Linked DNA regions of Notamacropus eugenii. The protein of the gene in region 1 binds, or shares a complex with, the protein of each later gene. Links are inferred from orthologs where the notes say so. Each region holds a gene or a part of one and is shown in the gene's direction. Other genes may lie near its edges.

Region 1 (14,936 bases):
CACCAATATCACTAGACTTTATACAGCACTTTAAGGTCTGCAAAGCACTTCACATGTTATCTTATTTGAGCCTCATAACAACGCTGGGAGGTAGGTGTTATTATTAATTCCATTTTACAGATGTGGAAACTGAGATAAGAAGAGGTTAAGTGACTTTCCCAGGTCACATAGCTAGTAAATGTCTGAGGCACAATCTGAACTCAGATATTCCAGGTTCCAAGTCCGATGTACTATTGGCTATACCACTTGGCTACCTTGATTTTTGATCTGTGACTCACTTAAAAAAAAAAAAGGTGATTCCTATCTTAAGCACATTTTCAAATGTGACCCACTATTTTAAAAAATGAATATTCCTAGTTTAAACAAGTAAATGCAGTTTATTTTGGAGATCCTCACCTTCCTTAACAGCCCTTCTTATCCCCTACCCCCAAATTCAGACACACTAAGAATCACTACATTTGTATAGTTTGTACAGTTATCTCTGCAATGTTAACTTATTGGAGCCTCACAACACAACCCTATGGGATAAGTACAGCCAGTATTATTATCTTCATTTTAAGCATGAAAAAACAGAGGCTGAGAAATGTTAAATGATTTGCTAATAGATACACAGCTAGTAAGGATGGGAAGTAGAATGCAAAGTCAGGTGTTCTCGACTTCCAATCTTATATGTTATCTCCTTATTCAATTGTCCATCTGTATGTGCACACTTGCATGTATATACTGTATCAGTAAACACCCCAACATACGCAGGGGGACCTGCTATCACAGATTCTTAAATCTGCATTCATAAAAGGAAAGGTAACTTTTGAGGGGTTAACAATCACTTTAATCAAGCACGTATATCTTTCCTTTAACCAAACACATATATCATTCACCTAGTTCAGGGGAGTCAGCACCCTGAACGTCAAAGAAAATACAGAGAAATCAAAGATCAACAGACATGGCTTCCTTTGCTGAATTCAACAGACAGTTGGACCCCAACTGTCTGACCATAGTTACCAGAGAGGGAAGCACGACATCTGGGTATTCAAAGCTGGGGACTCCTTAAAGTGACTTCCCAGAGTCCTCTTCTGGCACTCAAATCTTCTTACAGAAACTAAGCTTGAAAGTAAAAGCTCACCTTTTTTAGAGTATTTGTACACTTTTAAGAGCCAGAGTATTTATGCACTTTTATATACTTTTTAATACACTTTTTAGTATTTATACACTTTTTGGAGCCAGAGGGCATAACCCTCTGACTCAGAGCCTCAAGAGAAAAAACAAAAAGTACTTGGGACCCTTCTATAAAACAACTCCTCTAATCAAGCTTCCCACAATGGGCAGGTCCATTAATGGATGGGAAAGGTCTTCTTTAATCACATTATTCAATCAGAGGTACTTTTAGTAAAACAAAAACAGTAAAAGATCCTAATTTGATTGCCATCACATATACATATATGTACACATACATATATGCACATGTATACACACATTCGTATATACACAAGCAGTTTTGCGTGCACACACACATATGTGCATTGCATGTATGCAAACATAAGTGCATAGACATGTATGCACACATGCATATGTGTATATACATATAGGCACACACATACAGGGAAACACTTATAATGCATATATATGTGTATGTGTGTATATATGTATATGCATGTATATGTGTGTATATATATATATGTAAATATATACATATAGACACAGCCTCTTTTTTTTTTATCCCCAAAGTGCATAGTGCCTGGCACAGAATAATCGAGGTTAATAAATACTTGTTGGTTGACTGACTGATTGCTTTCTGCCACTAGAATACTTGGTTTTTACTAAGGTATTAGGGTTTAATATCCCCAGGAATATTTTTAAAGAACCATACAGTGAGCCCAAAGCTTAACACAAAGTAGAAAATCACCAAGGAAAGAATTTTAGGTACCCGTAGGGGAGGTATTTTTGTATGGAGGGACCTTCCTGTTATATCCTAATCATATAATGTTGGTGACTCAGTTTGGTCTCTTGCTTAGAAGAAATGGTCTACTTTCCCACTTAGTATGAATTTTAAGGGCATTCAGAAGACCCCAATGCTTCCTGTTCATTAACCTCCAAAAATTATCAACTGCTTCCTTTTGCTTACTGATTCTTGACATTCTCATTCCCTCAGACCCCTGTTCTTTACCAATGTTTTAGGGTGCAAATAAATTAATTTCACTTGATTAGATAAAAGCTACATTTTAATAAAGGTCTTTAGAAGATAACTTCAACCAGAGAAGTTTGTTTAATGTGAATAGTGGAGCTCTGGAGCTACTGGGTAGGGGGTGCATTTCTGGGGAGAGAGGAGTCTTTGGCTTACCCTGAATAACCTACAAAGATGGCTTCTTCTGAGTAGGGGTAGCCAGTCTTCCTTAGACATAAGTAAGCCAGATAACATAGTTATAATCCAGTATATGTGCAATCTTTTCTTACATGGGTTCCCTTGTTCCTCCCAGATCCTGGCCAAGATAGAATATTTTTATTCCTCTAATTTTTCTACTGTTTCTATAATGTTGCATTTATTCACAGTCTACTTTAGCTATTGCTTACATCTTTAGTTTTTTTGTGACTAATACTATTTTCATAAATATGATATAAAAAACCCCACAACAATAACAACATTCCTGGTACAAGGTTCTGTTTATTTTGTCAGCCAGGAAATAACCTATTTCCAAGTGATACCAGTTAAAATTCCAGACTTTCCAGAAATAATTTTGTTGTTAACCATCTCTAGAGATGGTTTCTTCCAAGTACTGAGGAATTTTGAGGGTCACCCAGTGTTACAGGGTTACTTGGGTGATACTTCCTAGCAGTGATACTGTAGGGGATGTTGCTATGGGGGTCTGCAGGAGGTAGGGAGGGGAGGTCAGTTTCAAGATAATCTTAGTTTTGGGGAAACAAGAGGCCAGAAGGCAGGTTTTGTACTGAGTAGATGAAATCCAAGAAGAGGTTGTCAAACATAGATCCCAGGAAGGGCCAGAAGTAACATGTTATTCTATCTATCTTAGCAATCCATTTGGCAACAAAAATTCAGCAGGCTCTGAGGGAGCAAGGAGAATCAAAAGCTTGTGACCAAAGTGAGAATCAGAAAGCTGGATGATAGCCAGATCTAAACTTGAGCAAAGAGTTCCTCTGATTTCTCAGTCACAGAGGGGATCTGGCCTAGGGTGTTTTAGGGGGAAATGCTAGGTCTACAAGCCTAATCTTCTGTATAAATGGAAGCCATATCCTTTCCCCCCTATGCTTCTACTTCAAGAAGTGTTATGTATAAAGTTCAGACAACCTGAAGATCCAGATGGGTGAGAGGTAGACATAGGTCGTTCCATATTGTAGCTGTCATGTGGCCTTTCATGGCTGGAGATAATTCTACTAACCATGTTCTCTCTGTTTTTTTTACCCTGCTCACACAAATTCTCTGATTTGACAGTGTAGACACTGTTTGTAGAAACTTATGCTATTTGTGATGTTCAGGCCATACATCTCCACTGAGTGAGTTATTTAGAGGGTTTATTTGTCCTTTTTATATGTGTTAAATGATACATTTAACAGGGTAGATCATGCTGCTTGCCCATTACTTTAGACCTAAACGCTGAACAGACCACTGAAAAGTTTGAATGTTTCAATTTTAAACAACATATCATAACTTTGCTGCTTATTATATAATCTTGGCAAATCAGTTAATTTCTCTGGGTCAATTTCTTTAATGGTTAATTGGGAGTAATAATCATTACATTATTGACCTCATGGGGTTGTTGGGAGAAGCAAATGAGATAATGTATGTAAAACTTCTTGTAAATCTTAAAGCAGAACATATATTTCAGCTATTATTTTTGTGCTGTCACTTCAGCTCTGGAATACTATTTTTCATTTCTATTCATCCATTTGATACTGTCTGTCAATGAGTTCATTGGTATTGGTGATCATTACTTGGTGATTCTGGTCATATAGTTCAATGAGATGTTGCCCCTATAACAATTCTAGGTCTCAGCACTTCATACAACATTAGACTCTACCATTTTAATGCTAGGTAGCGAGTTTAATAATTTTTTAATTTTTTTAATTATTAATTTATTTGTTCTCAGTTTTCTACAATCACTTCCATAAGTCTTAGATTTCTCCCCTGCCCACCCTGCTCCCTTCCCAAGATAGCATGCAATCTTATATGGGTTCTACACATACATTCTTATTAAACACATTTTCATATTAGTCATGTTGCATAGAAGAATTAAAATGAATGGGAGAAATCATGAGAAAAACCTAAACAAAACAAAACATAACACAAGAGAAAATATTCTACTTCATTCTGTGTTCCAATTCCATAGTTGTTTCTCTGGATGTGGATGGTGTTTTGCCTCGAGTCCTTTGGGAAAGTTTTAGGTCCTTGAATTGCTGTGAAGGGCTAAGTCTACCAGAAAAATTCCTTGCACTCAGTTTAGTGTTGCCAATGTTCCAAGATATTCAGTGTTTCTGAATTCAATTCTCTACTTTTTTAGTTGATCATTTGTTTTTTAATGGTCCTTATGGTTCTGAAAAATAAAATTTTCTCTGAGTAATAATTCTATTTTTTTTTTTTGCACAAGATTCTACTAGGGCTAAGCTCTTTTTACTTCCCTCCACCTTGACTTGCCAGAGATTTGCATTTTACTGTATATTGTGAAAACTATGAAAGGTCTTAAGATCACTTTAGGGCTTGAGGAAACATGATGTAAGTTTGAAGGACTGTGGAGTAGTCAGATCTTTTCTTCACTTGAAATAACTGTATAGCAAAGTATGTTTAATTCACATTTTGGAACTTCAGGAAGATATATTGTTCACTGAAGTCAGAGGAGATGGTAATTTATAGTTTTAGTTTCAGCACACTGTCATGACAATGTTTTGTGAAAGCGGAATGTTATGTTGTTTTATCCTACTATGATAAATTAGTTTGCATAGCAACATAACCTCATCAAGTGTTGGTATAGCCTACAAAATGTGGTAATCTGAACTTATATATTTATAATTTATATATATTATAAATATATTTATATATTTATATTATACACATTGCAATTTGACTTTTCTTATCCAATTCAACAAGCAATTATTAAATGCCTATTATGTGTGTGGAATTGTGCTGGGTGCTGGTGATACCTTTATTCTGGGAATAAAACTCTTTTGAAAGTGCACTCATACAGGAAAAAAAAATCTCATCAGCTCTGGGTTGTTGGCAGTGGCGGCTGAGGTGACAGATGAATGTATTGGTACTCAAGTAACTTTGGTAAGTCCAGAGCCTGATCACATTCTTGGGGTTCCTGCTTTCTAAGGGGGACAGCACCGCCTAGATAGGATAAGACTAAGGGAGAAATCATTCCAAGGGAAGTGAGAAAAGTCCTGGAAAGCTGGGAGGACCTCTCCTCTCTATCTGGAATCAAGAATAATGCTTCCCATACAATGATAACAGTCGTAATAGTAATAGCATTCATATGTCATTTTAAGGGATGCAAAGCACTTTACACGTATTATATCTTTTGATCCTCGCAACAACCCTGCAAGTTGAGGTACTATTTTTATCTTTGTTTTATAGTTGAGGAAACGGAGGCTTTGAGAGGTTAAGAATCTGAAGTAATAGACATAGATTTTTTTTCTGATTCCAAGTCCAGCACTGACTAGATTGCACCATCTAGTGGCCTCTCCGAGCCTGATTTCTGTGGAGAGAATTCGTGTCCCGTACTATTTCTATTGAAACAAAGTTTCTAAAAAGTGTCATCATAACGCATTCTCTTCATATGTATTATGTATAATATATATACACACGTGATATATACGCATACATACACACATACATATATGTCTGCCTATCTGTCTGTCTATCTAATCTATCTTTCTACCTACCTACCTTTCTATCATCTATCTATCTATTATCTATCTGTCTATTATCTATCTATCTATCTATCTATTATCTATCTGTCTATTATCTATCTATCTGTCTATTATCTATCTATCTGTCTATTATCTATCTATCTATCTATCTATCTATCTATCTATCTATCTATCTATCTATCTATCTATCTACCTATCTACCTTTCTATCTGTCTGTCTGTCTATCTATCTGTCTATCATGTGACATTGGCCATTACCAGAATGGAAAGGGCAGTGGGATTTACTTTTGTAAGAAGGCATAGAGAAAGTGAGGCCATAAGCAATATAAAAAAAAACAGAGAAAAGTGCGGAAGAGGAAACAGCAGTTTTGTGATAATCTCGATAAAGGCTCTTATGAAGAACCATATAACAAAGTTCGGAGTCCAATCCAATGAACATTAACGCAGCGCCCATTCTGCGTCCCTGTCCTCAAAGGGCTCTCAATCCAAAGGGGAAGGAAGATAACACAAAAGGTGGAGAGGGTATAAAGAGGACGATCACCTTGCTTATTTTTTTCTAGACTGAAATGCGCGTTGAGGACCGTGTAAAACAAACCACCACCTACAACAAAAAAAAGAAGCGAAAATACACCGTGTAGAATTGCTAATTTTGGAAGGTACTTCAGATTGGATCAAAGTTCCCGTCTAAGTGCAAAGCGAGCAGACCACGGAATACTGCCAAATCTCCCTTTCCAGAAGAAAACTCATTCTAGTTTCTTATCTTCGGCTCCCAAAACGCAGAGGTCGGCTCGCTATCTGCTTCTTTTCCTAAGAGACGCCAAAGACACCGAAGCTGCGGGTTGATTGGCAGCTGCCGTGTGGGCGGGCGCGTGCTTGGAGCGCGCACCGCGGAGCGCGCGGGCGCGTGCTTGGAGCGCGCACCCCGGAGCGCGCGGGCGCGGTTGGCCGGGGAGGCGGGTCGGGCGGTTGAGCGACACCCGGTCTGGCTGGTCTGCTGGTCGGTCGGCAGGGGGCGCTGCGCCCCCGCGCCGCGCTCCGCCTGCCCCTGGGTGCTCTCCGCCGCGGTTCGATTGGAGCTGCCGCCGGAGAACGCTTGGCGCCATTTTGAAGCGGAGAGGAGGAGGAACGGCCGGGCTAGCTGCGGAAGGGGAGGGGAGGGGGGAGGAGGAGGCGATTGGATGCGGCGGCGGCGGCGGCGGCGGCGGATCCCGGAGAGCGGCGGAGTGAGAGGAGCAGCGAGCCCGGCAGCCGGAGGTAGGAAACAATTCAATTAACGGGAGAAAGGTCTCTTCTTGCCCGCCCGGGCGCTCCATTTTCCCGCGGCCGGCGGTGTGTGTGCCTTTGGCGGGGGCTGAAGCGCCGCCCGCCCGCCCTGCAGTAGCCGCGGCCGTCCTGCCTCCGGCTCGGCTCGCCTCGGACTCGAGGGCTGAGCAGCCCCTTGGCCGGGAGGTGTCTCGTTCTCCGGGCGGGGGAGGGAGCGGGGGCCAGGACCTCCTGCACCCCCCTCGGACCCCCTGCACCGACTCCGGCGCACACACACGCGCACACGCGTGCGCGCGCCGCTGGCTTGATCCACGGCTTCTAAGAAATTAAACTTGCCGCCTTCCTCCGGGCGGGGCGGCCGCGGGGCCGGGTGACCTTGGCGGCGGGGGCCGAGGGGCAGCCCGGGGTTCCAGCCGCCCCCTTCCCGCGCCTCCCCTCCCCCCGCTCCCCGGTGGCCGCCGCCGGCCTGGGCTCGGGCTCGGGCTGTTTCGCGGACCGCAGGCGGGCGGCGCGGTTCTCCTGTTGAATCCTCTGGCGGGTTTTTTTTTTCTCCTTTCCGGGGGTGGGGTGGGAGGGGGAGGGAAGAGCCTGCGCTGCGAAAGCTGGGGGGCCGCAGCGTCCTCGCTTGGCCCCTCTCCAGGCGCCCCCGCAGGCTCCCCCTGAGCCCCACGAGCCCGGGGTTTCCCCTTTGCCCCCACGTCGTCTCAGCCTTTGCTCTGGGCGAGGAGAAAAGGATACAATGTGTCCGTTTGCTGTCTACTGTAACTTGTCAGTCACCGGAGGTAAATCTCACCGGCCGCCGGGAGGCTGTGGGGAGGGGCAGCCTGGGATCGAATGGAGGAGGACTGGGGCTCACTCTAAATTACTGCACCCTGGTGACAGTTGGGTTTGGTCTGAGCCTCAGGGAGCCTTGCAGTGTGAACCGGAATGAGCGCTGGCAGAACTGCGGAATAATCAGAGATTGTTGCACCTCCGCGGCTGGTTTTGGTCTCCCTTGTGCACACTTCAAAAAGTTTCTGGTTGCGGGGCATGCCTCGTATTTTAATTCTTCGGGACATGCATTAAACTTCTTGTTTTAAATATAGTTATTTAAGTGTATGAATTTGAGCCATGAGGTGTAAACCTGCACCGCACTGTACTGCATTACTTAACGAGATGCCGTGAGTTCAGTGCGGGTTTGAATCAGGAGAAAGGGATATCTGCATAGCACTTGAGCGTAATCCAAACCCTTAAGCAGGAGTTAACATTAGAAAATATATTTTGAAGGGAAGCCCTCTGAAAGTGCCTTTATTTTTGTCGGTTCGTTTTATTTCATTTCTACTCTTTTTCATGAAATATGTTAGTGGGCTGTGTTTTCTGCTTTGCCGTAGTGTTTATGAAATGCATGCCGAGGTCTCTGTGATGGATCTTTTCTACATTTAAGAATATTTTTGCTGTATAACATCCTATATTCTCTTCCCAAGTAAAGGTAACCCTTAAAAATCTGTTGATAGTTTATTAGAAGAGACAGAGTATAAAAATTTTTTGAATTTTGCTATTTAAATTTTGAGTGGCATTCTAAATAACGTGCTTGTTTAACAAACCTAGATGTAGGTTTGAATGGATTTTCTATCTGAACCAAGTAATCTACCAAATAAGAAAGTTAACATAGCATACAACACAAATCAGAATTAAGGTTTACATGAACACATTTTGGTCTTGGCACCCTACAGTACACATTTCACATGAGATTGACATGACTAAGGACAATAAGCCTTCCCTCAGGTATATGAGTTGTCCAAGGGCAAGTTCAACCTCTAACTTATGTTACTTTTAGTCATTTAGTCAGCGTGTTAACATGCTCAGTCTTATTTTCGTTATCAGCACAGAACTTACTTAAAATGTGTTGCTTGTGAAACAAGTAGTTAAAACTCTAAATTGTAATGGTTTGATTTCTGGATTTCAAAATTAAATTTTTTCTGAGGAATTCTATGAGTAATGAAAACATCTTAGAAACATAAGTAGTTCATTTAAAAAAATGAACTAATAAGATGCTCATTTGAACACTTAAGTATATATATGTGTGTGTGTGTGTGTGATTTCAGAAATGTTTATGTCTGCAGAAATACCAAATGTACATTTAAACTTTTTTTTTAACTTTTATACTTTTTGTTGTACTATTTCATTTCTTTGTGGATCTGAATTATGTTCTTTTTTAAAAAATAAAATTTTCTCGTCTTCAGCCTTTATTTTGTTCTTTCTCCATTGTGGTTATCTCCTTAGCTCATCCTTTTAATTCTAGTATTCAGATTCTTCTTCCTCCCCTTTTTTTTACACCCCTTTCTTCTTTTTCTCATTTTTCTTATAAGTAGAGGAAATGTTGGTGTTGAGGTTAAGGATACTTGCTGTCATGAGAAGTCATGTGATCAAGCTTGCTTGTTTAAAAATATGATTTGCCACTATGAGTTGACTCCTGGAAAAAAAAAGTAGGTTTGTGTTTTGAGATTATTCTGTAGAATTGATTTAAAATAATCCTTTTAGACTATGGAATTATCAAGCAATTTATTATGTCTGAGGAGGAAGTGATATCTTTCATTACTCAAGTTACTCTCTTGAGAACTGTGATGTGATGGAATTATGTCTAAAACTGAGAAAACAGAATTGTTCACTGCTTTCATTTGATGCAAAGGGTCTTTAGAATTTTTTGAGTTGTGATTTTTTGGGAAGGACTATCATCTGATTTGTGGAAATAGCATTGAGAAGACAATTATTTGCTTTTTTAAAAAATATGTTCCTCTTGTTAGAAAATAAGCAAATTTCAGCGATTGGTACTAGCTGTATGAATATTTATAAACATGGTATAGCTTTGTAGGATTATAAATTTTAGTGCTGCAAGAGAACTTAAATTCAACTATGTACATTCAACTCCTTTGATTTTGAAAATGAGGAAACTGATGCCTCAGGTTAAAGTACCCTCTACCAGATATAGGGTGATGGAACCTGCACTCCATGGAGTTCAGGTCTTGACTCCTTGTCCAGTGGGTACTCCCATTTAATTCTTAGTTTGTGTGGGGGAGTGAGCCAGAGCCTGAACATAGGGTTCTTTGTGTGGCAGTAAGTTATTTCTTTCTTAGGCCACAAAATCAGCCAAGAAGTAGCATTTCAAAGTAAACTACCAGATGTTCCTTTGCTTAATCTAGTTTTGACAGCTTCTTTTGAGGTTGTGTGTAGTTACCTGCTTCTGAAAATGTCTGTTTGCTTTTGTTTGGTTTTAAGCTGCTTGTTTTTTCATGGTGTAAATTTCCTTATATATGATATTAATTTTTATTTCTGAAACTTAAAATTTGGAAAATTTAATGTTATTTTAAAAATTCAAGTTTGTATACATTTTTTTCTTAATTTTCAGTCTGCTCCAGAGTCAATATCCATCATAGGGTTTCAGATATTTAGAAAAGTTTGTGTTTTATCTTGCATCCTATTGTAGGGTAGAGAGAGAGAATGAATTTCAGTATTATCACTGAGAGTGAATTTATCTTTTAATTTTCAATTAGAGGCTACCAAATAGTTTGCAGTTTCATTTGGGAGGAATGTTAAGGACCAATTCTTTGCCTAAAATATAGGCAAGTTAGTTATACAAGTCTTTTTACAAATGTTGCCCTGGTGACAGTAGGCTACTACTATATTTTTGTCTCTTGTTACCAATTTAAGATTAAGAATTAGTGTGTTTTCACTGCTGCTTTGAGATCAAGTCTCTTTAATATCATTGTCAGTGATTGATCATATTGTGTGACCAACATACTGAAGACTGAGTATATATCAGCAGAATTTAGTTAGCATTATAATGAAGTTAAACTTAAGAATTTACCTGACACATTTAATGATAAGCAACAATTGTTATGCTGCTTAATAAATGACTAATATTACTCTTACAAGTCAAATCAAGCATTTTTAGAATAATGTGGCAGGAGGGAGAGGGAAAGTGGAAAGGGAAGCTCTTTCAGCAAAACCCAGAATCTTGTAACCCACGTGAGCTCAAATAATCTAGAACTTTTTCTGTCAATGTTACTGGCCTGGGTATTTTGACAAGATCTTTTGCTCCTGAAGATTGGGAGCCAGGGACTCTTATTGCATTTTTCTTAGTGGTAGTGGGGGGTGGTTGTTCTTTCTGTGTTATTAAGGAATGATAATTAGTTAAGACAGCTTAGAGAGTAGACCAGTGATCCAGACTCTTCCTCATTGTAGAATGGGAAGAAGAAAGTACAATTTGTGGTTCTGGAGCCAGGAGGAAGTAAGTCTCTCTTGTTTCTATGACTGACTGACTTTAGGTTAATTTATCTAAAGCCAGTTTGCATAATCTGATCCCTTAGAAATGATATTTCTAATAAATACTTAAGTTTTCAGCGTTTCATATATGATGGTAGGTAGGTGGATAGAGGTCTGGGCCAGAAGTCAGGAACACCTGAATTCAAATGAGGCCACTGACAACTTACTAGTTGTGTGACCTTTGACAAATCACTTAACCTCTGTTTGTCTCAGTTTCTTCAACTGTAAAATGGGTATAATAACAGCACCCACCTCCCTGGGTTGTTGTCAAGATCTTCCCAGGTTTTTATGAAACCATGCTGTTTGTCATTTATTATAGCATAATAGTATTACATCACAATTATATACCACAACTTGTTTGGCCATTTCCCAGTTGATAGGCATCCCCTCAGTTTACAGTTCTTTGCCACCACAAAAAGAGCTGCTGTGTTTTTGGACAAATAAGTCTTTTTCCCTTTTCTTTGATCTTTTTGGGATACAGACCTAGTAGTGGTATTGTTGTGTTAAAGAGTATGCGCAGTTTTATAGCCCTTTGGCCATAGTTCCAAATTGTTCTTCAGAATGGTTAGACTAGTTCATAACTCCACCAACAGTACATTAGTGTCTCCGTTTTTTAACATCCTCGCCAACGTTTGTCATTTTCTTTTGTTATCATGGTAGCCAATCTGATAGGTGATTTCTCAGAGTGGTTTTAATTTGTATTTCTCTAATCAGTAATTTAGAGCATTTTTTCATGTGCCTGTTGGTAACTGTAAATTTCATATTTATTTTTAAAAAGTATCAAATCAAAGACAATCAGGCTGATGTGATGTAGTGAGTAGAATACTGGACTTTGCAGACGGGGAGACTTGGATTCAGATCCTATATATTACCTCTGACACTAGCTATGTGACTATGTCAAGTCACTTTTCCTCTTTGATCACTGGCACCTCCCTAAGACTTTTTGGTAAAAATTATTTTATTTGTTTTCAGGTTTCTACCATCACTTTCATATATCTTAGATTTTTTTCCCCTTCCTTCCCCATTTCCCCTTAACCTGCCAAGGCATAGGCAGTTGCTGTATGTTGGTGGACTATCTTCCCACACCAAGGAAATCACAGATCTTTGTCATATTATTGATATATTTACCAAATAATAGCATTTTGTATACTATAGGGCAGTTGTAACCCCTTTTAAGCAATTATACCTCCTTCAGCTTTTTAAAAAACTAACTTTGTGCGGCAACTAGATAGCACAGTGAGTATCAATCAGCCTTAGGGTCAGGAGGACCTGTGTTCAAATTCAGGCTCAGACATTTACTAGCTTTGTGACCTTGGGCAAGTCATCTAACCCTAATTACCACCCAACCCCACAAATACAACTGCCTTTGTGCATTTTATTGATTTGTTAAACAAATTAGTGATACTCAGTGTTGATTTCTGTAACCATCCTTTGACAATAAAAGTCAAGAGAATAAGATAATTATGCTGAAAGCATTTTGAACTCTCTTAATTTTTATGACATTGAAATCATGATGATAGAGGATTTCAAATATTAATTAACATGTAGAATCTAATGTTATTAACAAAAGTCATTATAAATATTTGCGTTTGCACTTAAGGCTTCAGACTTTCTGAACAGCATTGATAATTTACTAGAAAGGAGAAAGGCAGTATGGTATATCGTGGATAAGAATGCTGGACTTAGACCCAGGAAGACCTGGGTTCAAATCCCACCTCAGACACTTATTATGTATCTGACTCTGGGCAAGCCACTTAACCTTTCTAGGGTTCAGTTTCATCATTTGTAAAATAAGGAGGTCAGCCTTGTGCTGTTGTAAGGTCCCTTTTAGTTCAAGTCTTTGACCCTATTAGCCTATGATAAATGGGGGAAAGCTACTTGTCCATTGATCTTTGTTCTCTCTACACTTGAGAGTACTGTCAGACTTCCAGAGGCTCGGATAGAGATGGTGGATAGCTGCTGCTTAGAATTCAGGATGCTAAATTTCAGTGATGGTTTTTATCCTTAGCTGTCAGTGAAGCATACCACTATTTGTAGCAGTTTTACCTTGTTGTGTAAATAGTGGTGAAGGATGTATTAGGCAACAGTCTGCATGCCCAATCTATGTGTACTTCACATAGTCCATATGAGACGATACTTCTTCTGGTAAAGGATGTTCCAGCTATAGCTTTGAGACAAAGGCAAGGTACAAACAGTGAAGTTCTCATGATTTTGTGTGTGTGTGTGTGTGTGTGTGCGCGTGTGTGCTTGTGTGTATGTGCTTGTATTCTCCAAATACGATGGCAGAAGTGGAAGGAATATCCTCTCTGAGTTGATAGTAGCTGATTTTAGAAATTTAAATAGTAATCAGAATAATATCTTGACTATGGTTGACCTACCTAAAAAAAATAACACATCTTAGCTAAAGTAATATGTGGAAGAGTTAGAGGAAGGGATTGTTGTTGATTGGGGTATTTGAGAGAAAAACCATTTTAACATCTAGGAAGATGTTTGTAATGATTTAAGTTGCTGAGAATGCAACATAGTGCAGAGGAAAGAAACCCAATCATGGAGTCAGTGTACCTGGAACCTAGCTAGTCCCTATGTGACTTTTGACAAGTCTGATCTCTCATACTCTTTATCTGTAAAAAGGAGGGGTGATAATTGTTGTACTGGCCCTCTTACAGGACAGATGAGGGAAAAGTGTTTGGTAAACTATAAAGCTACTAAATAAATAAATAAATATATGCTGACATGACTGTATCTGTGCTGCTGCAGCCTTCAAAGTTAGTGTCAGAAAAAATTTATTGTTTATGTGAAGAGTATAATTTCTAAAGTATAGTGCAAATTGTAGTGGATGCACAAATTCATGTGAATTGTGGGTTGAATACAGCCTGTTGCTATAAATTTAAAAGCAGAGTATAATTACACCTGTTTGTGGATCCAAGGGAAGGATTTTAGACCCAACTGAGTATATAGGAAGTCTAAATCAAAGCTTCCTAGTAAGTCCTATATGAATTGGCCAACCAAGATTCATTATTCCTACTAATCAATTAACAAGCATTAAGTACCTACTTTGTCTTAGATACTGGGGATACAAGAATATAAACTAAACAACACGTGCATTCAAGGAATTTATATTCTCTAGGAAGAGACAGTATGTAAATATGCATGAAAGTAAATGCAAAAATCTGTACAAAGTAATTTTGAACATGGGACAGCAGTAATTAGGGGAGGGGGAATCAAGAAAGGCCTTATGTAGGAGGTGAACTTGGAAGGAAGCTAAAGATTCTTAAGAGATAGAGGAGAGGAGGGAGAATATTCCAGGCAAAGGCATAGATAGTCTGTGGAAAGGCACAGACAGGAGATACAGAATGTTGTGCTTGGAGTCTTGTAAGTTAAAGTTTGTAAGAGGGAGCATGATGTAACAGTCAATCAGCAAGTATTATTAAATGCCTACTGTGTTAAGCACTGTGCTAGTCACTTGAGATTCAAGCACAATGAATGAAACAAGTT
Region 2 (15,781 bases), on another chromosome or scaffold:
TCTAACAGCGTTCTAAAGAGGAGGTTTGTGATTCAGCATCTTGATGGACCAGCTGATTGAAAAGGATATTTGACAGACAAAAGTAGCCATATGTGAACTGTTCACTAAAATCCCAGAGAAGGGATATGCTTGAGCCTCCTTCATGGACTGGAGGCAGGCTGTTTTCCTAATGGATGGATCCTTATCTCCCAGATACTCCATTTCAGCTATGGCAAAGGGCAGGCACTGAAGGTTCAGGAGCTAGAGAGGTTGCTGCTGCCTGCCCAGCTAGTCACACCCCTGAATCCCCACCTCCAAACAGGCAGCAGCCACCTCTAAAAGTAGGTCACAGGTGGCTGGCTGCTCTTGGCTGCCAGAGCCTTTGCTGGAGTGGAGCAGGCGCCCTAAGAACTGATGCAGCACAGCAGAGGTGCCCAGAGCTCCTTGGCCCACTTCCTCGAAGCAGGCTCATGGCCCATGGACTCCAAAACGAACAGGCTGCCTCATTTGCCTTGAGCTCTCAGAAGTGCTGGAAAGCAGGCTCTACCCTTAACCTCCTACTCCTGTGGCCACCACAGAAGAGGCCTCAGCACTGTGAACTAGGGCACTAGTTAGTTGGCAGTCCTTGGCATGGAGGCCAACATATGGTGTGCAACCCCATCTAGTCCAGCTTCTCAGTCCCAGACTGTTACTTGGCCATGATCTGTGCCACAATTCCTACCAACCAAACCGAAAGGCATAGAGGATCACTGTGGGGAAATGGGCCTTGCTTCACTGCCCCATCCAGGTTCCCTATTTTGTTCCATGAATATGAAAATATTAGGGACAGCTAAGTGGCATAGTAGATAGAGTGAGGATCTGGGTTCAAATCCTGCCTTAGACACTTGAACCTCTGTATGCCTCAGCTTTCTCATCTGTAAAATGGGGAAAATAATAGCCTCCACTTCCCAGGGTTATTGTGAGAATCAAATGATCCAATACATGTAAAGCACTTTGTAAAAACTCAACATGCCATAAAATTACTAGTTATTATTATAGTTATTGTATATCATATACATATAGACATATTGATGAATCCCTAATTCTACTGTGATACTAAATCCTTCAACCTTTCGGACTCTTACAGTGGGGTGCTTCCATTTTCCCTCTGGAGACTAAGCTTAATCTGTTCTCTGCAGTATGAGAATTTATAACCAATGTATAACCAATGTATAACCAAGCACTCATTAAGTAGCTCTAGGTATCAGCTTCTCATTAGCTGCTAGGAATACAGATAGAAAATTGAGATAGTCCCTACCCTAAAGGAGCTTAAATTCTTGTCAGGTTGAGGGGATGGATGGATAAGCATTTATACAGATCCTACTATGTGCTTGATGGATAGAGCACTGGAGTCAGGAAGATCTGGGTTCAAATTTGGCAATTCGCTTAACCTCTGTCTACCTTAACTTACTGGAGAAAGAAATGGCTAACCATTCCAGTCTCTTTGCTAAGAAAACACAGACAGTATTAGCATGCCATGGTCACAAGGTCTGACCTACAGTTGGACTTGTCTAAATGACTGAACAACAATGTACCAGCACTGCAATAAGTGGGTTTGCATATGTGTGTTTACAAACATCATCTCCATGCTGCAGCTGTGGAAACTAAGGCAAACAGACTAGCCTGAGGTCACACGGATGACCAGTGTCTAAGGCCAAGTCTTCCGGACTTCAGGCTCAGAGTTCCATCCACAATGCCACCAGCTTCCTGTAGTGGGAGAATAAGGGTGGGGGGGGGATGGAGGAAATCATTAAGTAGAGAATAAGCAGAAACTAACTACAGAAGGTTTGGAGGGTACTAACTACTGGGCCAAAGTCTCACTGCCAAGGCATACACTATTCATGACCACAGGGACCCTAGCCAGAGTCTAGGTTTTCACCAGTACACAAGCGTGTACCCATGTATGGGGGAGGGATGAGTGAAAGAGGGTGGCCACAAGTAGGTTTGTCCCACTGAGATTTAAGTCGTCCCCCCTGCCCCGAATTCAGAATTTGTAAATCAACCAAATCCTTCAGCTTGGGGACTTTCATGTTATTGTTCTGAGAGGACTGGCCTCAAGCTGGGAAAATTCACCAGGAGACCTATCTATCATCTTTCAGCCCTGGAGGCCAACACTCATCCATAATGAAACAGTGACCCAGGGAGCAGGATTCTGGAGGGAGGTCTCTCTGTCCAGGGTGCTCATGATACTTGTCGGGCCTGAGTTTGCCTGTGGGGAGGAGCTGGACCAAGAGGCTGCCATGGGGGTGCACAGTGCAAGGGCACGAAGTGGTCGACTGAGAAAGGCCCCCAAGAGACTGTGGCTAGTTGTCAAAGGCCCGAGGTACTGAGTGAGAAGAGAGAAAAAAACAGCAGGTGCCTGTTACGAGCAAGAAAACTTGGCTAGGCTGCTCTTTGAATAGGCGGCCTTGTATGCACACAGACTCCTGCCTGCAAAAAAGGGATGTTCCTGTGAAGGGTGTACAGGCCTCCCAGGACACAACAAACAAAAATCAAAATATTTGACCAGAAGGGCAGTGCAGTTCATAGAACTGGCTATTTAGGGCTGAAATGGGGCCTTAGAGACCACTGGGTCCAAACTCCTGGACCCCTCCCCCCCCTTACAGAAGAGGAAGCAGAAAGGCCATACAGCTAGTAAGTAGCTGAAGTGGGATTTGAGCCCAGCTTTTTCTGACTCCAAATCCCAAACTCACAATCTGAGAGTCCATAGGATTTAAAGCCTAGCAGGGCTAGGAAGTGGCCCTGACCTCATTGGCTGTCCCAAAATGATAGGGATCCCTGACCATAGTCCTCAGGAGAGGTCACCAGGTAAATTCCCTAAATCCTATTTGGATTCTAATGACCAGCCATTGCATTGATGCATCTAGGGACCATTTTCCTCCACACTGCCTCTCCAGCTGGGTCACTAGATCTCTCCGTCACAAAAAAGGCATTAGCTAACATTCAGCCTTATACTATCCTTCACTGAAATAATTCTGTGAGTGAGGTCAAATGAGGAAGAACTTAAGGTTCACAGCAGGGGCTTGACTGGCTTCGGTCATCCAGAAAGCTCTAGGTCGGGGTTCTGAGCCCAATCCAAAGCTCCTTTGGGCAGGAAGCTCCACATGGCGGTTTTTATCAAGAAAGGAGAGGAATGTCTACTGAGCCCTTTGTAAATCTAATGAGCATTTATTTCCTTTGTGGTCCTTGTACAGACACATTCACCACAGAAAAATCTTCTACCATTAAATCAACATACCTGCAACCTGATCATCTTGGCAGAGGAGTCTCCCACATTCAACTGTAGAGCTTGCTTTCACAACAAGGGATGACCTATGAGGTTACCCCCCCAACCTCCCTCATAGTCACCTCCTCTCCCCTCCCCCAGAGTCTGGGAACTTCCTTGAATCTTCCCACTAAATCTGGCAGTCTCAGGAGGTCCATAGGTTTTTCATTACCACTATGCTCAAATCTCTGTTATACTTCCCACCCTTGATCCTATCAAAATCCCATTCTCCAGGCTACTGGCCACTCCCATCAAGATTCCTCCCTAGATTTGATCTTTATTCACCCTAAGGTACTGGTCATTCCCATCAAGACCTTTAGACACCCCAGGCTACTGACCACTACCATTAGGACCAGCCTCCATGAAGGTGCTCAGATTCAATCCAATTCAGACTCTGTCTAGCTGAGATTCTATCTGTCCTGCTTGTTAATACAAACATTATAAATACTTAGGCTCCTAAAGAGTCAACCCAATATGGTGAATCTTTAATAAACTGTTTTATTTTGGCTGAAAGAAGGCTTGAGTCAAATTCATTCGAGCACGACCCAGTGTCAGTATTTTGGGATCCCAGGCACCCTGAACCTCAACATGGCTCCCCTATGGTGTCTCCTCCTCTCCCCTCCCTCATAGTCCAGTACCATAGATTCACCTCCTCTCTCTCCTTTATCACTTCTGCCCTCTACCTCCTGGGGCCTGGATCCTGGCAGTGCCCAGGTTTCCTTTTTGAGTATTTATTCCTATCTGCTTATTCTTGTCTGAAGGATGTCTGAGTTGGACTGGACCAGAGTCCAGTCTATGCCTGAAATGAAAACTCCGAGGGTACCCATGCTTATTAATCTAGAGAATGACTAAATTTAACACCAAATTCAGCACCAATTCTGCCTCTGCCCTCAAGGAGCTTATAGGCTAATAAAAGGGACATGACACCCACTGATGAAGGTATAAAGTGAGGTATAAAGTAACATAAAGTTTGAGGAGTGAAATGTGTCAAGTTCTGGTTAAGCCCAGGGGGTACAAAGAAAATGAAAAAAAAAACAGTTCCTGCTTAGAAGAAGCTTACAATCTAATAGGGGAAAGATAATATGCACATAACTGTAAAAACAAGATGTAATGGAGATAAGTCTCCATTCTGATGGGGAAGACACTATCAGTAAGGGGGATGGGGAAAGGCTTTGTGGAGGCTGCAGCATCTACCAAAAGGGTAGATCTTTTAAAAGATGGGGGAATTCCAGAGATGCGAGAAAGGACGGAGGACAAGGCATTTCAAGCACAGGAAACTGCAAGAACAAAGGAAGAGAGGTAAATATATGTACAGGGAACAGGTCAGCTGGGCTGGAGAGGTAGTGCCCAGAGGGAAATGAGATGAAACCGAAGTTGAAAAGTCATGTGTGACCAGAATGCAGGCCTGGAATGACAAGGCTGGGCATTTTCCTTCAGTAAAAAGAATTCCAGATCACTTGATTTTGTCAGAATTGAAGGGAAATTGATAGCTTTTTTAGGTGAGCAGAGGGAGATTTATAGGTTTTTAAAATGAAAAGATAAATCGTTTGTGATTGTGGGATTAATAAAAAAAAATAGCTTTTTAACATGTGAACTCTATTCCATGTTGTATGGCACCAGACTTTCACTTTTGTTCCCCAAAATAAGATCATGATGCCTTTGACCTCCTGCCTGTAAACTGAAGGCCTTGGGTTGGGTGACTTCTTAGGTGCCTTACAGCTCCAAGGGCATTGGATGGTGGAGCTTGGAGCACTGAATTGGGGAGTTCACAGGGACTTCAAAGGACCTGGCTTAGTTATTTCCTCCCTGTGCCTCAATTTCCTCATCTCTAAAGATGTTAAGAACCCTATGGGGTCTAAATCCCATGGTAATCCTATGCCAGACAAGGGACTTTAAACTTCCTTTGGAAGACAAGAGGGTCTGAGAAAAAGGTCTTACTAAGTGAGGGAATCTAACCAGATCTATTCATAAGGTAAGTCGGGAGCAGCAGGGAGGAGGAACTGAAGGAGGGCAAGTCTGCAGGAAGGCCTGGTAGCTATAGCAATTTTCCAGCAAGGCCTGCACAAAGGTGGTGGCAGAAGAAACAGGAAGATAGGAGGCCAGAGACGTTTCAGGGCTGACAGCCACAGGACTTGGGAAGTGATTGGCTAGAAAAGGAAACAGCACTCAAGGTGAAAGTTCCACTGGGCTTCCTCTGACTCAGTAGCCCAGCCTACTGAATATCCAGGCCTGGAAAGGCCCCAACTTTCAGGGTCTTTCTCTAACACTCCTAGAATCTCAGATGTAAGTATCCTTCTTTGTTAGATCGACTCCCCAACCACATTTTGTCTTTCCTCCACCTACACTTGAGACTAATGAGATAGTAATATACTCCTAAAAGAATGTCTTTGGGAGTTTATTCAAATTTTCATGAAAGGTAAGGTCACTGAGGTATGTTCTAGGGATCCCCACCTTCTGAAATGGGAAAGTAAGAAAAAATCCTCTCTATACCAAGAAAAAGAAATTCACCAAATAACATTTATTATGTACCGACATGCCAGGCACTGCACTAAAAAACCCCACAACACATATGAAGCCACCCAAAATGACCTCCTTCCCCCCCCCCCCCCCCCAGGAAATACTAAACTAAGAATAAGAACAACAAAAGCTTATCAGCTGCTTTCTTACTGATGTCTTTCTTACAGTTTCCAAAAGATTTCTTTATAATCTCATTTCTGGATTTTCTTAACTGAAAATACCAAATTGGGGTCTCCTGGTTTTCTGCTATGCATTTTTTATTGTAAAGCAAAGAGCTTTACAAATCTCTTTTTAAAAAAGGTCCCTTCTGATCCTGAGGCTTTTTTTTTTTAAAAGCCCTTAGCCCACAGGGCACATAGTAAGTATTTAAATGTTTGTTCCTTTGTACTTCTCTCAAGTAACTTTTAAGTTATTTTCCTTTAAAAAGTTCTTACAAATGAAAAATATATTTCTCCTGAACTTCAATTTGTAACCATCTGCTAGATTAAGGGAGGACGACATAAGCAGTACACCTCACAGCCATTATTATTTTCCTCAGGGATATTATCTGAAAGCTATAATCAAAGTGTAATTGTAAATTCACTTGGGACTTTCCTTCTCAAAAGTCTAGTTGGGGGCAGGAGGCACTAACGCTCCTCTGAAGACAGGAAAGGTGGTCTCCTGTAGTATCACATTTTCTAATACAATACAAATACTTTGGCTTGTTTCTAGCCTTATCATTAAGAAAAATTCAATTTCAACAAGTATTTATTGAGTCCTGATGGTGGTGTTTAAAGAGACTGTCCCTATTCTCCAAGTTGCTTAGAATAAATTCTCCTTGGAGAGACAGGCCCCAGACAGGAAAAATCATGGCCCTATTTGGTCCTGCATTTCCAGCTTCTGAAGTTTGTTCACTTGAAATGTAGATGGAAGTGTTTAGGGAAACAAAGAAAATGGAAATTAACCAAAGGAACCCAAAGGCTGCCACAGGGAGGACAGCCAGGTTGTAGTGGGTGTCTTTTGCTTGACCACAGGTCAGTGAAGAGGGCACAAAGGCTCTGGGCAAGTTTATTTTTGTTAAGAAAATCCCAGGACCTAAATGCAGTGTTCATGTTCTAAGTTACCTGGATGAGTGCAGAAATGTGACTGTTACATTTGGGTCGGAATGACAGTAGCTTACAGGAGAGCTCCATTCTCTATACAGAAGTGCTCATTTTAGTTGACATCATTAGTTCAGTATTTTAAAACCGGGAGAAAACAGACACCTGAAAGGGGTCTCGGGAGTGTTTTTGAACTCCAGGGCCTTCCCAACAGCCACTGGGCCTACCCCATAAAGAATTTACATAGTTTTGAATTTAGAGGGTTAACAGCAAGCTTTATATACCTTTGGTAAAAAATCTTGCAATTATCTCCTTGCTCCTTTTGACTTTTTGATCTTAGCTTTTGCTTCTGATGATAATTACCCCTTAATTAGCACCACCACTGTATCATCTAAGTAATTATAGTAAGTGGAGCCTGTACCCCAACAAGTAGTCTTCAAAGAAAATTATAAAATAAGGTCCCACATTGACTTTTTAGAGCAAAACTGGCTCAGATAAAACACTCCTGCAGAGCTATACCCTGAGGAATAGTTTGTATCTAACTTCTATTCAGGACATGCAATAGAGTTGGCTTTTAAAAAGGAAAAATAAAAAAGATACTGTACCCAGAAGTTTAAGGGTACAGGTCAAAAGTTCAGTTACAAGTTATCTATACTTACAATAATGCATCTGTGGTACTTGAATCATTCAACTGCTAAGTAGCATCAATGCCTTGAATAGGAACAGTTTTCTATGGACTCATAATATACTGGCTACATATTGTTTAAACTATTTCTTATGATTTTAGAAGAAAGTCACTTTAAGTACTTCATAAACATAGTCTATTTATAGCTTTAGGCATATGAATGGAAGGACTTAAGGAAAAATGGTAACTAATACCTTATTAATTTCCCAAGTAATTACCTAAAGCTCCATTAAAGCTCCCTCTTGCCCAAGAATAAGGTGACATATAGATGCAGAAGTCATGAATGTGGTTTTATTTTGGTATCTTTATTAAACTTTATGTGGGAAGAGAAATGATATAGTGATAATTAAAAAAAAAACCCATTACATTGTTAAAGTTGTTAGACGGAAAACGCAATCTCATATCATCCATCTCAATTCCCTTATGTCTCAAATGAGCAAACTGAGGCCCAGATCACTAAAACATGTAACTCAAGGTCACCCAGATAGCTACAGGCGAAGGCGGAATTAGAAACCAGGTCTCCTTATGCCCAGATGAGTGCAATTCCACAGTAAAGTACAAGTGGGTCAAATAAATTTAGTTTTCCATTGATGAGGTTTTTGAAGGTTTATACACAAAAAAAGTATCGAGCAAATAATCAATGTGTTTTCACAACGAGTTCCTAAGCATAGAGAATTGGGGGGGGGGAGAGGGGGCAGGAGGGAGAGGGAGAGGGGGGAAGAGAGAGAGAGAGAGGGAGAGGGAGAGGGAGAGGGAGAGACAGAGAGACAGAGACAGAGACAGAGAGAGAGAGAGAGAGAGAGAGAGAGAGAGAGAGAGAGAGAGAGAGAGAAAGAATAGAAAAGAAAACAGATCCAGTTACCTGATCCCCTACGGATCGGTGACATCAGTAGCTGGAAGCTGTCAATTTCCAGAATGACTCACTGGGAGCACTGAGAATTTTCTGATCCTTTAAAATGAAAAGGAAAAGGAAAAAGGTTCTTGGTTGCTTTCTTCCATATAGACTATTCGTAAATGTTTTCGTGCTATCTTCACCAGGCTGCATTTTGTGGCTCATTACGAGGGTCAAGTCAAAAGAGAGGCAGGGAGAGAGGGGCACAAACAGCAGAGACGCCGGGGGGGCGCGGTGGGTAGCCCCCAAGCTCGCTCCAGCACCATGGGCTCCACGAGCCTCTTTGGTAGCTCGGAAGAACCCGGACTGAATGTGCCAGCAGGTGGGCACATTTTGTTCCCCTACCTGACCGAGACCCGGGCCTGAAAGCCGGTGCATCCCAGTCGGAGTTCGCGGGCGCCGCCGGGTCCCCCGGCTGCGGCAGGTCCCTGCAGGGCGAGCCACCGACACCCAGGGCGTCCGCCACGGTCCCAGCCTCTGCACTCCCTCCCCCGGCCGGGAGCTTCCGAGGGCGCTGGGCCCACCCCCGTCCCCGCCTGGCCTCAACCGAGTCCCGGCCCTTCCTCCTACTCACTGCTTCCGAACACGGTGGCTCACCCCCGCCCCCGCCCAGGGAGTGTGGCCGGGAACTACACTTCCCGTCGGCCCTCGCGGCCGAGACCATGGCGGCCCCCGCGCGTGCGGCGCCACGCGCCTGCGCGACGGTTTGTCCGACCGGCGCTGCGATTGGCTGCGGCGGCCGGGGCCGCGCGGGGCCTGTGGGAAGCGCCGTGACGGAGCTGGCGGCTGGGGGAGGAAGGGGGGCGGCCAGCCGGGGAGCGCAAATGGCGTTGAGATGGTTCAGGGCCCTGCTCAAACTCCAGCCCTGACCACTTACCGGGCTAGGAGGCGGCGCAGGCGGGGGCGACGGCGGCGGCGACGGCGGCCCAGCGCGAGGAGCTAGTCATCGCCGGCGACGCGGACGGGGCGGCCTAGGCCCGGGCCGGCGGCGGCGGCAGCGGGGGAAGTTGCGGGGCAGCCGCCGCCGGCGCTCCCCCCCTTCCCCCTCTCCCGCTCCTCCCTTCCCTGCGGGCTCCTTTTGGCCCGGAGCAGACGCCGGCGGCGGCCGGGGCAGCGGCGGCGGCACTCTTCTTCTTCCCCTCCCCCCCCCCGGCCCCCTCTTCCTCGCGCGTCAACCGTCTCCCATCTCGAGCGCGCCAACCCTCCGGCCCCCCCTTCTAACCCCCCCTCGTCCCGCGCGCGCGGGGCCCCAGCGGCCGCCCGGCTTGCGCCGCCCGGGGGCCGCCGGGAAGGTGAGGCGGCGGCGGCGGCCGGAGCTCGGAGTCTCCACCCCGCTCGCTCGGCGCCCAGGGTAAGTGAGGTCCCGTGGCGGCCGCTAGGCCCCGCCCGAGACGGGGACCCGGGAGGGGGCTCGGGGCGCCCGGTGCGACGCGACCCGGAGGAAGTTGGGGGAACGGGCGGGCGAAGAGAAGTGTCTGGATTCTCGCCCGCCCTCCCCCCCACTCCCGGCCCTTTCCGAGAGGCCGCCAAGTCTGGGGCGCCTCCCTCCCTCCCCCCCCCCCCCCCCCAGCGCCTCTCGGTCAAGTGCACGGCGGCCGCCGGCAGCGCACCCGCTTCTGCCCCCGAGAACGGAGGGAGGGGGCACTGTTCTTCGGGCGCCGCCTCGGGGAGGGGACGATGGGAGAGAAGTGTGGAGGCCGGGACCCCCGGAGAAACCTGGGGGGGGCGGACGGGGCGGAGTGGGTATGGGAGGAAGAGCCCCCAGGCGCCGGGGTCACTGAGTGCCCCTTTCTCTCTGGCCCGGACAGGTTGTTGGGAGGAGCTGCCAATGTGTCTGAAGGCCCGAGTGAAAGGTTGAGACCCGCGCGCCTATGCACATGTACGTGAGATGGTGACTGGGAGTTGTCCGCCCACCCTCGGGGTGTCGGGGCGGCCCCGCAGCCTTCGGCGAGCTCTTCCAGCTTAGACCTGAAAAGGCTCCACTCGAGATGAGATTGTCCACGGGGTTCCTGCTTTTGGCAAACTCTCAGGTGTTAACTTTTTAGGTCATGGAGTAGGAAGGGACCTGAGAGGTTTAGTCCAATCCCCTCTTTTGAAAGAGGTGAAACTGAGACCCGCCGAGGTCAGCTGACTTGCTTAAAGCCACAGGAGTAGAAGTAGAAGATTCAAAGCCAAATCCAAGGAATTTCCAGTCCAACAGTCTTCCCCAGTGTGCCATGTTGAGAAATATCCCAAGTATCTACGTATCCTGCACTGAAGAAGTGCACAGTTTTATTTCCATTTTTCTATAGAAATGGCCAAGTTCTCTTGTTTATAGACAAATTGCTTAAATAAAACATTTTGGTTTTATAACGCCTAAGAAAGAAAAACACAAAATTTACCAATAAACTCTATAGCGCAAGGCGATACAGATATCTCCTGTTTCTACTCCCAAAGGTTATAGTAAACGTTAGGAATTTATCATTGGGTTTTATATCTCCTACGGAAAAAATTCCTGCTGAATACTCGAAAAGATCAGTTTGTCAGTGATTCCTAGTACATCCTAGGAAAAAAAAATTTGTGGAGTTCAGTGAAACATGGGGCAAATTCTGATACAAAAAACCATTGTTGTGATATTTCAAAATTAGGGAAAGCTTTTTGCGTGTAGCTTATAGCCCATTTCTTTCAAGCTTATTAATTACAGTACAGTGAAACTATGCCCCTCTAAGAGTCGATTATAATTATTGTTATATTAAAATTTCAGTGATTTCAGTAATGTGAATTTAAAAAAGTTTTCATCACAGTTAAGTGGAAGGGGATTATTAGTGAAAGAATACATGCATGTCATGTACAATATGAAAGAAAGATGAAGTCTTCTCTCCCCCCCTTTTGCTTTGTATATTTTCACCTTGGGTACACAGTGTTCCTCTCTGGTCCTTTCCTCTCTTCTCCCTCCTTCCCCCCAATTGAATGTAAGCTCCTTATGAGTAGAAACCTCTCCTAGTATTCCTTAGACTAGTTGACACATATATTGTTGCGTAGTATTAATCTTTTAGTTAATGTAATCTTATCTTTTTCTGGAGACTTTGCATAAAGATAGAGGTTTCTCCAAACATGTCTTTTCTTCTCTGTTGAGTACATATTTGTCTACTATAAATAAACCTGAATGAATCTGAATCCATGAAGTTTACAGATAAAAAAGTAAAAAGAAAATAAAGTTGTACATTTATAATATGGACCATGGAACTAATGTTAAGGAACTTGACTTGCGCTAGTTTATCAAATACAAAAGCAGTATCTTCAGTCAAACTAAGTTAACATGAGATCCAACATTTTTGAAATTAGCATAGAAGTGTACGTTAGATTCAGTGTGGTACCATATTTTCTTTTTTTGGTCTAAAAAGCAAAAGCTTAGGAATCTATAAATATAGTATGTATGACCTAACATTAACATGTCTGAAAGGTAAATACTACTGAATTACATTTTATTTATGCTTTTCTGTTTTGAAAAGATGAGTGTCTAAAGTTTAAGCTTTTTAATTATTACACTTAAGTAATGTATAAATGAGTACTGTACATTGACTGTTGGTTCAGTTTGGAGCTTTAATGAATTCTGTTATCGTAGGTGGTAAGGTAGTCAGTCATACTTGTTTGGCAACTTAATTTTACATGTGGTGTTTAAATTTTTGGTTACAATATTGGTTATGTTTTCTTGATTTTTCCACAGAGAATATGAAACAGGTGTCAAAATGACATCCAGATTTGGGAAAACATATAGCAGGAAAGGGGGAAATGGCAGCTCTAAATTTGATGAAGTATTTTCCAACAAACGGACCACCCTTAGTACAAAGTGGGGAGAGACTACCTTTATGGCCAAATTAGGCCAAAAGAGGCCTAATTTAAATCCAGATATCCCAGAAATTCCTAAGAAGCCTAAAGTGGAAGATGAAAATTCAGAAGATCCTTTTGGATTTGATAGTGATGAAGAATCTTTACCAGTTTCTTCAAAGAATGTGGCCCAGGCTAAGAGTTCCTCCCAGTTGGAGCCTGGTGAAGCTGCTCATCTGGGTGACTTCACCTCTGTACTTGAAGCTAACAGCTGTATTAGTCAACCAATCACGGAAGACATTATTGTGTCGAGCAAGTGTTTACCTTGTGAGAGTACTTTCCTTGGTTTAAAAGAAAAGAGCACAAACCGAACCTTAGAAGACGGTGAAAACAAAAGTAGTGCAAAACTAATAACTAAAGGTGAGTCTTTATTTCATACTTGGAAGCGTTGGTTATAATTGTCATAGACAGCTCCTTCTAAGTATGCATGCCCTTTACTTTTATTTAATGTAGAATATTGACCTGCTTTAGCCAAAACGTTTGTTTGACTTTGAAAAATGGGGGATAGGTAATAAGACCGCAATAACTGTCAATTTTGTAAATAAATTTCAGAATTTTGAGGAAAACAGTTGCCTTTGAAAAAAGTTTTATTTTTGTAAAATGGATAATCCTTTGCTATGGAACAGCATTTTGTGTGTGCTCCAGATGGCTACCTTTTGGGATATCTGTAAATCAGATAATGTGGACTAGGTTATAATATTTATAAAATACCTTTTTTGTCAAACCTAGTATTTGGTGGGGTTACATGGTTTGGTAGTGACAATAACATGAATTTTAAATTGTGGAATTAGCCCAAGTTTAAAATGTTTAAATAAGCTACAGTTTTGGCTCCAGAAAACAAGTATTAGTCATAATTAATATTTTTGTAGTTTTCTTGAGCATAACTAATTAGTATTTTACTCTGTTTCTTGGTGAGATTTGATTTGGGGCTGAGATTAATAGTTAAGACAGTCAGTGCCCAGGTTATGAAAGAGTATATTCCCAAAGTTCATTTTCAGGTTGGTTATTTTGAAACTTGAAAGATATTTCCTCCCAGGATCAGTGTTATTATCAGTGGCAGTTTGGTTCCTAGATTAACCAGTAAATAGAATTTTATAGGTGGAAAGGACCTAAAGGTTCATCTCATCAACCCTACTGCCCCTACCTTTTGCCCTCTTCTGGAGAGGAAACAAGTACAGAGAGGTTTGTGATTCACAGTTAAATATTCTTGAGTTAACCCATAATGTAGCTGAAATAGTACTAATAGTTACCCCGAGCCTTGTGTGGGGGAGTAAAATACTGAAGACTGGGTGCAGGGTGCAGGTTGCAGTGGTTTGGCAACTCCCATAGTGGCTTAAGGAGAGAATGAGATTATAGCAAGGAGACGAGGAGAGGGCTCCGTTGACTCCCACGTTGTGGAGGTGGGAAGAGAAAGATGCAAGAAGGGTGTTCATTAAGCCACCAACTGTGGGCAGAGCTGTGTTATGTGCCAGAGGAGATGCAGAATTTGGGAGAGGGATATGTATGACATGTACACAGATGTATAATAAAAAGTGCATAAGGGATGTGTAAACAAAGTGCCCTTTGAGGTCTGATCATCAATAATGGTTAGGTTTTCAGGCCAATCTAATTAATTTAGGAAACTTGAAGTCCTTGCCTACAAACATACCCAGGTCTCACACTTAACCTTTTTGACCTGGCTATCCCCTAGGCTTTCATCCTTTCTTCTCCTGTTTGATGCCAGTCTCCTAAAAGGAATGATCTATGTGTGCTGCCTCTACTTCCCTTGCCTTCTAACTCAGACTTTTACAGGTTACTTTTCCTGAGGTTTTCTAGGATCTCTTTGAGTTGGCAGAATATGTTGGTCTTTTCTTTATCTGAATTCCCCTTGACTTGGGCAGCTTTTGCTCCAGTTGACTTTGAATCTTCTCCCTCCTTGATCCATCTTGGCATTTGAGAGACAGTTTTTTTCTACCTCCTTTGTTGGATAGGCCCTAAGAGTGAATATCTTCCTTTTTTCCCCAGGGTTTTCTTCTGGGCTTTTTTCTTCTACATGCTCTTCCTTGGTGATCTGATCTTTTATGTGTTCAGTTACCATGTCCAAATGGTTGTTCCCAAACATGGACATCCAGCCGAATTTCCGAAACTCTAGTCCTACATGTCCAGCTGACTCCTAGACATCTCCATTTGGGTGGCCATTTGACAGTTTAAAGGCACCTTGTCCAAAATAGTTCATTAACTTATCCCCCTTTTCCCCTAACACTCCTGATCAAACTTCCCTAGACCTCTTTAGGGCGCTACTACTCTCTCTTCTCAATAACCCAGGTTTGAAATCTCTGCTATCTTTTGCTGTTACCACTCCCTCACTTTCTGTATTCACCTAGTTGCCAAGTCTCTTTCTTATTCTGTCTCAGTCCTGTCTTAATCTCTTATCTGTCTGGTTTACTTCTAGTCTATCTTCTCTGAAATCATCCTCCATACGCAAAATAATTGTCACTTCCCTACTCGGAAACCTTCTGTGATTGCTGACTTTATCTCCAGGATAAACTATCAAACTGCTCAGCCTGACTTTGAAAACATTACCGGGTCTGTCCTCCATTTCATCCAGTCTGTGTTATGTTTGTTCCCTGAACATTTTGTCCCCTGTCTCTGTGCCTTTGAACAAGCTGTGTTTTCTATGTCTATCATTTCTGAGCTTCAGTGCTGGAGTGCCTTCCTTCTCTGAGGTGTTAGTGTTGTCTCCAATCTATAATTAGCTTGTACTTACATTGTTATCCGTCGGTAGAACATAAGCTTCATGTGGGCAGAGGTTCTTTCTTTTTGTCTTATTTGCAGTGGCTTGTATAGAGTAGAAGCTTAATTATCCCATTTATCTAATTGAGGAATTTTTTCAACTTAGTTGATTGATGAACTAACAACAAGAGGGTCAGAACCTTTGAGAACTACAGGTAATTTCTATGTCATGAGGATTCATCAGAATAGGACTTCAGGGCATTAGAAATTAGTTGCAGTGAGTTATATTTTCCAGGAACTGCATGGGCAGTAACAAGTTCTTTGAATTGCAGGGCAATTATAACATTATTCTATAGGGTTTTCTTCATTCAGACCAATCAAATCATTGGAAAAGGCTCATTCAGACTTATTATTAGTGACTACTGCCCCTGCTGGGAAAGTAGTTAAGTGAATTCAAATTCACTCCTTTGTAAAGGAGTGTATGGTTAGGAACTTGAGGTCAGATCAGTCAGTCAATAAGCTTTTATTATGTGCCAGTCTCTGTCAGGTATTTCAGGTTCCAGACCTTTGTATATGCACAAAGGAGAGGAGGTAGCATATCATTAACATTTATTGAGGAATTGGGCAAATACATAGATAGGAGTTAATTTTTAGACTGAATTTAAAGTGTTTTAGATATTTATTTAATAGTAATTAATTGGATTAACATGAAAAATTCCACTCTCTTCTCTTCCCCTTCTCCCATT

What was found.
Region 2: the proteins of PDS5B (region 1) and WAPL are in contact, whole or in part, in a crystal structure (PDB 5HDT), measured with the Homo sapiens proteins. The link is inferred for Notamacropus eugenii from reciprocal best matches to the Homo sapiens genes PDS5B and WAPL. Residues at the interface, in NP_055847.1 of Homo sapiens: Gln47, Phe88, Ala92, Pro93, Ala95, Trp137, Val138, Lys139, Ser140, Asn142, Ile143, Phe145, Glu146, Glu187, Gly188, Asp189; in NP_055860.1 of Homo sapiens: Lys7, Thr8, Tyr9, Ser10, Arg11.

What each region holds. Positions count from the first base shown.
Region 1 is NC_092876.1:201,639,584-201,654,519, forward strand, and holds the start of PDS5B (sister chromatid cohesion protein PDS5 homolog B), read left to right. Parts: upstream 1-7,003; 5' UTR 7,004-7,130; intron 7,131-7,902; exon of another isoform or gene 7,903-7,921; intron 7,922-14,936. UniProt on the Homo sapiens protein: Regulator of sister chromatid cohesion in mitosis which may stabilize cohesin complex association with chromatin. May couple sister chromatid cohesion during mitosis to DNA replication.
Region 2 is NC_092872.1:253,007,443-253,023,223, reverse strand, and holds the start of WAPL (wings apart-like protein homolog), read left to right. Parts: upstream 1-9,557; 5' UTR 9,558-9,807; intron 9,808-10,264; 5' UTR 10,265-10,327; coding exon 10,328-10,335; intron 10,336-10,365; exon of another isoform or gene 10,366-10,486; intron 10,487-12,162; coding exon 12,163-12,683; intron 12,684-15,781. UniProt on the Homo sapiens protein: Regulator of sister chromatid cohesion in mitosis which negatively regulates cohesin association with chromatin. Involved in both sister chromatid cohesion during interphase and sister-chromatid resolution during early stages of mitosis.